Linked DNA regions of Saccharomyces cerevisiae S288C. The gene in region 2 interacts genetically with the main gene of each other region. Each region holds a gene or a part of one and is shown on either strand. Other genes may lie near its edges. The genes, in order: HEL2 and YEF3.

The links.
Region 1: of YEF3 (region 2) and HEL2, changing one suppresses a phenotype caused by changing the other (phenotypic suppression), as found in Saccharomyces cerevisiae (one study listed by BioGRID).

What each region holds. Positions count from the first base shown.
Region 1 is NC_001136.10:999,487-1,003,793, forward strand, and holds HEL2 (E3 ubiquitin-protein ligase HEL2), read right to left. Parts: upstream 2,538-4,307; coding exon 618-2,537; downstream 1-617. Other genes in the region: PEX10 (ubiquitin-protein ligase peroxin 10), read left to right, coding at 1-391; iron-sulfur cluster assembly protein CIA1, read right to left, coding at 3,024-4,016. UniProt on the Saccharomyces cerevisiae protein: E3 ubiquitin-protein ligase that plays a key role in the ribosome quality control (RQC), a pathway that takes place when a ribosome has stalled during translation, leading to degradation of nascent peptide chains.
Region 2 is NC_001144.5:634,762-640,443, forward strand, and holds YEF3 (translation elongation factor EF-3), read left to right. Parts: upstream 1-2,018; coding exon 2,019-5,153; downstream 5,154-5,682. Other genes in the region: serine/threonine protein kinase RCK2, read left to right, coding at 1-1,323; nucleobindin SSP120, read left to right, coding at 5,556-5,682. UniProt on the Saccharomyces cerevisiae protein: Ribosome-dependent ATPase that functions in cytoplasmic translation elongation. Required for the ATP-dependent release of deacylated tRNA from the ribosomal E-site during protein biosynthesis.

The DNA.
Region 1 (4,307 bases), on a different chromosome or scaffold from region 2:
TATCCTATTAGCTCAAAATGTTATGAAATGGTACCCTGTCCTAACCTCTACGCTCGGGTCCTGGATTTATGGGAGAAAAAGGACCAATGATTCAATTACTAGGTCGTCTGTTGGTCTACAGGAGCGTTCAGAACATGAATCTATAGAAGGCATACCGAAGGAATCGCAGCTGACTCATATAAATTTGTCAGATAAAAACCAATTGCCATTTATTCCAGAAGCCTCGAGAAAATGCATCCTATGTCTCATGAACATGAGTGATCCTAGCTGCGCGCCATGTGGACATCTATTTTGTTGGAGTTGTCTTATGAGCTGGTGTAAAGAGAGGCCAGAATGCCCCTTGTGCAGACAACACTGTCAACCACAGGAAATTCTGGTCCTGCGGCAATAGAGGAACTAATCAATAATTTGACTACTCTTTTAGCATTGTCCACAGGCCTTTTTCAGAAATAACGCAGACGTCTGAGCAGGAGAAGTAAAACGCGAAGGGGAAATAATGCTTTTTAGTCTTGTAATTATATTAATTAATTAAATAAGTTTTTCTTTATCGGAATTTTATTTAAGACTTTCATTTCTCTAATGCTATTGTCAGTTACAGGTTAGAAATATATTTCCAACTATACACCAATGTGGAATAACAGCTGCTTTTGTTTGCCTTTCTTTTTATTTCCTCCACTAGTTGTGTTCAATTCCCTCAAATTATCGTGCACGTTAGTATCTTGTGTGCTTGACTTTTTACCCCACTGCTTAGGATCAGCAATTTGGGGTCTGTTCAGACCTGGAATTTGCACCTTTGGCTTTGGTGGAGGTAGTTGAGGTAGGTTGAGACTTTTCAATTTATCTTTGCTATTATTTAGAGAAGTAGAAGAGGAACCCTTTTTACTTTCCAAATAGGTTGGAGAGAAGGCGACTGTATTAGTGGAAGTTCGATAACTAACTGATTGAGGTGTAGTTCTTTTAATGTTTTGCACGGGTCTCAGAGTGTTTTTTTTTACGGTGGTTGCAAAGGGATCATACGACGCTGAAGGACTTTTCAGGGTTGGAAGATTTTTGATATTCCTAACGCCTAATGCTGCACCAGCGCTGCCCCCATCGTTTGTTCCACCCCAATGGCCCCTGCCTATTGACATTGAAAGGGAAGAATCACTAGATAAAGAAGGTAGTGAAGTTTGTCGTGCAAGGGTTTGCTCTCTTTGTTCATATATGGCGTTCAGATTATTGTATTTGGAGGAGTTTTTGGGAAAGGTTTCAGCTAAGTTATGAATCAATAAATATACATCCGCATTTGGTTTTGTGAATAACAATTTATATGATTCCAATAATTTTTCAGCACTTAAGCGACCTTTAGAATAATCTTCGTTATAAGAAGAAAACTTATTGAAGTCTTCTTTGGAATTTTCCAGATAGTATTTTGCTCTTTCTGCCAATCTTAGTCTACTTTCCTCGGGAGAACTAGCAGATCTCACATCAGTTCTAGAGCCGGATGATGAACCCGGTAGGGAAGATATAGATGGAAGGTCGTAATCATCTCTTTCCCTGATCACTCTAGATGGAGCCGAGATAAAAGTAGAAAGTTCTGACTGGAAAAACTTTGGCTTTCCCTTCAGGATATTACCATGCTCCTGCAAAATGTGGGCTTGTAACTCCAACTCGTCTTTAAATACGACAAACTTGTTATCTAAGCAAGTTTGGACGGTGCAAACGTAATGCGAATGTTTAAAGTGGTCAAAAAGCTGATTATAATCCTTAAAGTATTGAGGAGAAGCGGGGTTCATCTTATCACAAATATGGCACTTTTCATGCTGATTTCTCATGTGAATGTACAATTCGTCGTCTGAATAAAATCGTTTTCCGGAACAGAAGGCACACATAGGGTGGCCTTTGAATCCTTCTGAATTACCCTTAGTTTGATGGTTGCGTAATTGATTTTGGGTGAATATTTCAAGCTCACAAGGGAATGCATGCTTATGGGTTGCACATATTAAACAGATCATTCTGTTATGTTCAGATTTCAAGTGTTCATTATATTTCTTGAAACTACCAAAGTCACAAACTTGTTCATCCTTCGATAGGGGACAAAAAAATTTTAAAAGATTTAGTGTTTCGGTAGCAACCTCTTCGCTAGTGAAATTTATTCCATATTTTTCATTTTTTTCGCAAAAGTTATATTTATCTGAAATATCACCATCTATGCGATCGGTAAACATGACTTCTTCATTCTCCGTTCTGCAAATCAAACAGCTTTTCTTGTTGTACAAAGCTCGTTGTCTGAAACCACAGATATGGCATGTCTTATGATGGCATGGTGTTAGAGATACGTATGTTAACTTGCGCGCACAAATTACACATAATTCATTTTCTTCATCAGTATCATCTGCGCTTGAAGTGGTGAGGTTGGGTTCAGCAGAAAGGTTATTTTTCTTTTGCTTTCTTCTGAAATTCTTCCTGTCGTTGTGAGGTTTTGTATTATTTTGGGGCCCTTGAGTACGACGGAAGTTACGTGTCGGAGTAACGTTTTCTTTCACTGATTCGCTCATCCTAATTCTTGAAAAGAAGTATAGCCACTATTTTTTCGACGAAAGAGACTGTATCAAAATGCACTTTATGGATCTTTTTCAGCTAGGTATGCGCTCGACGATTTGTTGAATATGGCTGAGTGGGCAGTCGTTCAGATGCCCTTTTCAAAATCTTAAGAGAAAATCAGAAAATATAGCTATTATTAAGAGTGACCGCGAGTATGAAACTTTCAGTGTAACCTTTCTTTATTCGAGATAATGCTTAATTACAAGTCTTCCGAATATCTAATTTTTTTTTTTTTCATTTTTAAATTTCAGTTTTTACCGCATGCTTTTAATGCAGGGATATGTATAACGAGGTCACTCCGTCACACATGACAGAATTGCGTTATAGTGATACAAAGGTTTATGTAACTAGGTAGAAAAATCGTCATTAAGTTTATTTTTAGAATTCAGATCGATCACTGTGTTAATATGAGTTCCTGAATTGTACTCTTGCTTCTACATCTACGCTGCTTTTTCTAGAGACCAGAAATTTACGATCCCGTCGTCACCGCCTGTTGCAAGTATAGTTTTACCATTTAACTCCAACCACTTCACAACGTTGATTTCATAAACTCCATGACATAATGCACGTTTAGCAAAAACTTTCCATTCTCCGTCTACTTCTTCATAGACCGCTAGTACTCCATCCGCTCCTACACTAGCAATGAGGCCATTAAAGCCCCATGCAACATTGTATACCTGTCTTTTGTGTACATCCGGGAGAATAGCTTCACAAACCCATTCTTGTTGATCATCCTCGTCGTCACCCATGTATTTCCATACCCGTACAGTGGAATCGTCGCTTCCACTGCACAGTCTAAACACGCCCTCAGTCTTGTCAAAATCAGAAGACCAAACAGTTCCTTCATGGCCATTTAAGACAGCAACACATTCCCAGTCATCGTCATAGTCTTTCCATATCCTGACGGTGTCATCATAAGAACTTGAAGCCAGTAATGCTTCAGATGGATGCCATATAACATGTTTAACGTCTTGTGAATGTTCTTGCAAAACACTAATACACTCATATTCCTCGCCACTTTCATCTGTTTCCCATATCCACACGCTTTTATCTCTGGAACAGGTTGCTAGGTAATATCCATCATTCGACCACGCTACACCTTTTACTTCATTTTCGTGACCTTCGATAATAGCTAGCAGGTCCATCTCGAAAGTTCTGTCAGCAGATTCTTCCTTAGCCCAGATAGATACAGTGGAATCAAAAGAGCCAGCCGCTAACAGCGAAGTGTGAGGTCTCCACGCCACAGATCGAATCGCCTTTTTATGAGCAGTCTCATCTAGCACATCAATTAACGTAAAATCGTCATATTTCACGCTAACTAGCTTAATTTTTCGATCAGTTGAACCTGTTGCTAATATACCTTGAGAAAAGTCAAAAGACCATATCTTTTCCTTGTAAAGTTTCAAAGACTTAATCAGATTGATAGACGCCATTACCAAATAAGTAAACCAATTGAACTATTAAAATGTCGTGGTATAGCCCGATTTTGATTTGTGATATCTACAAATCTAGTATTTATTCGCAATTAATGAGGCAAAGACGATACAATATTCGATGTGAGATTTTTCAAAACACGGCCCGCTGAGAGCAGAAAGTTTTAGATGACCTATTTGAAGGCAATCACGATGGTATTTTTCAAGAAAATAAATAGTAGTAACACTGCTATGCACATCAGAGTCAGATTCCTTAAATTCAAACGTTTCTACAATTAGTATGACCTTTTC
Region 2 (5,682 bases):
GAAGGTGCTTTTTCAAAAGTCTTTAGAGCCATACCTGCTAAAAATAGTTCTAATGAATTTTTAACTAAAAACTATAAAGCTGTTGCCATTAAAGTTATCAAAAAGGCAGATTTATCCTCGATTAATGGTGATCATCGTAAGAAGGACAAAGGGAAGGACAGCACTAAAACTTCTTCCAGAGATCAAGTCTTGAAGGAAGTTGCACTACATAAGACGGTTTCCGCTGGTTGTTCACAAATTGTCGCGTTCATAGACTTCCAAGAAACAGATAGCTATTATTATATTATTCAAGAGTTACTAACCGGTGGGGAAATCTTCGGCGAAATTGTTAGGTTGACCTATTTCAGTGAAGATTTATCAAGGCATGTAATCAAACAATTAGCACTGGCTGTTAAACATATGCATTCACTAGGTGTAGTGCATCGTGATATAAAACCTGAGAATCTTCTTTTTGAACCGATTGAATTCACACGCTCTATAAAACCAAAATTGAGGAAATCGGATGATCCGCAAACAAAGGCAGACGAGGGAATTTTCACACCAGGAGTTGGTGGTGGTGGAATTGGTATAGTAAAACTAGCTGATTTTGGTTTGTCTAAACAAATATTTTCCAAGAACACCAAGACTCCTTGTGGTACAGTCGGTTACACTGCCCCTGAAGTTGTCAAAGATGAGCATTATTCTATGAAAGTGGATATGTGGGGGATTGGTTGCGTTTTGTACACAATGTTATGTGGGTTCCCGCCATTCTATGATGAGAAAATTGACACTTTAACTGAAAAAATATCAAGGGGTGAGTATACCTTTCTGAAACCTTGGTGGGATGAAATCAGCGCCGGTGCCAAGAATGCCGTGGCTAAGCTATTAGAACTAGAGCCGTCTAAAAGATACGACATTGACCAGTTTTTGGACGACCCATGGTTAAATACATTCGATTGTTTACCAAAGGAGGGCGAATCTTCACAAAAGAAAGCAGGTACTTCCGAAAGACGCCATCCGCATAAGAAACAATTCCAACTATTTCAAAGAGACTCCTCGCTACTGTTTTCACCAGCTGCTGTTGCTATGCGTGACGCCTTTGATATTGGTAATGCTGTGAAACGTACCGAAGAAGACCGTATGGGAACACGTGGAGGATTAGGCTCGCTTGCTGAGGACGAAGAATTGGAAGATAGTTACAGTGGCGCCCAAGGCGATGAACAGCTGGAACAAAATATGTTCCAATTAACGCTGGATACGTCCACGATTCTGCAAAGAAGAAAAAAAGTTCAAGAAAATGACGTAGGGCCTACAATTCCAATAAGCGCCACTATCAGGGAATAGCAACTTTCCCTTCTGTTTCAATCTTTTTACCTATTCCTTTTTAAAAGATATATATACATTAAACTCCTTCTACAAGTATATATTTTATACATATCTACAGGGCGTATATATACATAACATTTTAAGATAAGCAAGTGAATGTTGATTCCCGTTTCTTAGTCAACACTTCTTTCTATTTTACCCGGTCGTTACCCTATTAAAAAAACAACTTACAATCATTGTTCGCCCCTTCCATACTTACTGCCACTCGCAAAAGGGCCCAACCAGGGCAATTACGTATCAAAAAATCATGACAGGCTGGGTAATAAATATTCGTGAAGAAAGAAGAAATTAAAAAAAGAAACGAAGAAGCAAAAAAAAGAAAAGACTCCGTTTAATCACTTTCAACCGCGGTTTATCCGGCCCCACCCATGCATAACCCTAAATTATTAGATCACTTAGCACGTGAAAAAGAAACGTTTTTAATGTTTTTTTTTTTTTTTTCTTTTTCTTTTTTTGCGTTGGTGAAAATTTTTTCGCTTCCTCGAGTATAATTATCTCATCTCATCTTTCATATAAGATAAGAAGTTTTATAAAAACCTTTTGCATCAAAATTTTGTAGAATATCTCTTTTTCTTACGCTCTCTTTCTTTCCTTAATTGTTTTCTAAAGAACCGTGTATTTTTCTAGTTCGAATCCATCGATAACATTAAAAGATGTCTGATTCCCAGCAATCCATTAAGGTTCTAGAAGAACTATTCCAGAAGTTATCTGTTGCCACTGCTGACAACAGACACGAAATCGCTTCTGAAGTCGCTTCTTTCTTGAATGGTAACATCATTGAACATGATGTTCCAGAACACTTCTTCGGTGAATTGGCCAAGGGTATCAAGGACAAGAAGACCGCTGCTAACGCCATGCAAGCTGTTGCTCACATTGCTAACCAATCTAACTTGTCTCCATCTGTTGAACCATACATCGTCCAATTGGTTCCAGCTATCTGTACCAACGCAGGTAACAAGGACAAAGAAATTCAATCTGTTGCTTCCGAAACTTTGATTTCCATCGTTAACGCTGTTAACCCAGTTGCCATCAAAGCTTTGTTGCCACATTTGACTAACGCTATTGTCGAAACTAACAAATGGCAAGAAAAGATTGCTATTTTGGCAGCTATCTCTGCTATGGTCGATGCTGCTAAGGATCAAGTTGCCCTAAGAATGCCAGAATTGATTCCAGTCTTGTCTGAAACCATGTGGGACACCAAGAAGGAAGTCAAGGCTGCTGCTACTGCCGCCATGACCAAGGCTACCGAAACTGTTGACAACAAGGATATTGAACGTTTCATTCCAAGTTTGATTCAATGTATTGCTGACCCAACTGAAGTTCCAGAAACCGTTCATTTGTTAGGTGCTACTACTTTCGTTGCTGAAGTTACTCCAGCTACTTTGTCCATCATGGTCCCATTGTTGTCCAGAGGTTTGAACGAAAGAGAAACCGGTATCAAGCGTAAGTCTGCTGTTATTATTGACAACATGTGTAAGTTGGTCGAAGACCCACAAGTTATTGCTCCTTTCTTGGGTAAATTGTTGCCAGGTTTGAAGAGTAACTTTGCTACCATTGCTGACCCAGAAGCCAGAGAAGTTACTTTGAGAGCTTTGAAGACTTTGAGAAGAGTTGGTAACGTTGGTGAAGACGATGCTATTCCAGAAGTTTCTCACGCTGGTGACGTTTCTACTACTTTGCAAGTCGTTAACGAATTGTTGAAGGACGAAACCGTTGCTCCAAGATTTAAGATTGTCGTCGAGTACATTGCCGCCATTGGTGCTGATTTGATCGATGAAAGAATCATTGACCAACAAGCTTGGTTCACCCACATCACCCCATACATGACTATCTTCTTGCACGAAAAGAAGGCCAAGGACATCTTGGACGAATTCAGAAAGAGAGCTGTCGACAACATTCCAGTTGGTCCAAACTTCGACGACGAAGAAGACGAAGGTGAAGACTTATGTAACTGTGAATTCTCTTTGGCTTATGGTGCTAAAATCTTGTTGAACAAGACCCAATTAAGATTGAAGAGAGCCAGAAGATATGGTATCTGTGGTCCAAACGGTTGTGGTAAGTCCACTTTAATGAGAGCTATTGCCAACGGTCAAGTTGATGGTTTCCCAACCCAAGAAGAATGTAGAACCGTCTACGTCGAACACGACATTGATGGTACTCACTCTGACACTTCCGTCTTGGATTTCGTTTTCGAATCTGGTGTTGGTACTAAAGAAGCTATCAAGGACAAATTGATTGAATTCGGTTTCACCGATGAAATGATTGCTATGCCAATCTCTGCTTTGTCTGGTGGTTGGAAGATGAAGTTGGCTCTAGCTAGAGCTGTGTTGAGAAATGCTGATATCTTGTTGTTAGATGAACCAACTAACCATTTGGATACCGTCAACGTTGCTTGGTTAGTTAACTACTTGAACACCTGTGGTATCACTTCTATCACTATTTCTCACGACTCCGTTTTCTTAGATAACGTCTGTGAATATATTATTAACTACGAAGGTTTGAAGTTGAGAAAGTACAAGGGTAACTTTACCGAATTCGTTAAGAAGTGTCCAGCTGCTAAGGCTTACGAAGAATTATCCAACACTGATTTGGAATTCAAGTTCCCAGAACCAGGTTACTTGGAAGGTGTTAAGACTAAGCAAAAGGCTATTGTCAAGGTTACCAACATGGAATTCCAATATCCAGGTACCTCTAAGCCACAAATCACTGACATTAACTTCCAATGTTCTTTGTCTTCCAGAATTGCTGTCATTGGTCCAAATGGTGCTGGTAAGTCTACTTTGATTAACGTCTTGACTGGTGAACTATTACCAACCTCTGGTGAAGTCTACACCCACGAAAATTGTCGTATCGCTTACATTAAGCAACACGCTTTTGCTCATATCGAATCTCATTTGGACAAGACTCCATCTGAATATATCCAATGGAGATTCCAAACCGGTGAAGATAGAGAAACCATGGACAGAGCTAACAGACAAATCAACGAAAACGATGCTGAAGCTATGAACAAGATCTTCAAGATTGAAGGTACCCCTAGAAGAATTGCCGGTATCCACTCCAGAAGAAAGTTCAAGAACACTTACGAATATGAATGTTCTTTCTTATTGGGTGAAAACATTGGTATGAAATCTGAAAGATGGGTTCCAATGATGTCCGTCGACAACGCTTGGATTCCAAGAGGTGAATTGGTTGAATCTCACTCTAAGATGGTTGCTGAAGTTGATATGAAGGAAGCTTTGGCTTCTGGTCAATTCCGTCCATTAACCAGAAAAGAAATTGAAGAACATTGTTCCATGTTGGGTTTGGACCCAGAAATTGTTTCTCACTCCAGAATTAGAGGTTTGTCTGGTGGTCAAAAGGTTAAGTTGGTCTTAGCTGCCGGTACATGGCAAAGACCTCACTTGATTGTCTTAGATGAACCTACCAACTATCTGGACAGAGATTCTTTGGGTGCTTTGTCTAAGGCTTTGAAGGAATTTGAAGGTGGTGTTATTATCATTACTCACTCTGCTGAATTCACAAAGAACTTGACTGAAGAAGTCTGGGCCGTCAAGGACGGTAGAATGACTCCATCTGGTCACAACTGGGTTAGTGGTCAAGGTGCTGGTCCAAGAATCGAAAAGAAGGAAGACGAAGAAGATAAATTCGATGCTATGGGTAACAAGATTGCCGGTGGTAAGAAGAAGAAGAAGTTGTCTTCTGCGGAATTGAGAAAGAAGAAGAAGGAAAGAATGAAGAAGAAGAAGGAATTGGGTGATGCTTACGTTTCTTCTGACGAAGAATTCTAATCTTTTTGATCACTGCTTTCACAGTTTTCTTTAAGATTTTTATTGATCAATAATTTATGTATATTTTAATTTCTATGTTTTTGTAATATTGTTTATTTTGGTAAAATATAGACGCAACTTCCTTATTATAAAGAAAGGCATTATTTAAAAGAAAAAGCGTTCCATTAGTCAGACATCTTTTTTTTTCATACATTCTTAAGCTCAGGCAAATTGAGCATTGCCTCATACCCTTTTCGGTAAGAGGGTAACGAAAATATTTTTTTGGAAGAATAAAAATAGGTGACGGATCATAGACTAGGAAGCTTTAAAACATGATTGAGCGTAATATTATATTCCTTCTAGAAAAGATAAAAGAGCCAAGACCTAAAATTTTTTCATCCCTGTTCTATTAAAATTGTGGAAATGAGGTTTTTGAGGGGATTTGTATTTTCTTTGGCTTTCACTCTATATAAAGTAACTGCCACGGCAGAAATAGGATCTGAAATTAATGTGGAAAATGAGGCACCACCTGATGGTTTATCCTGGGAGG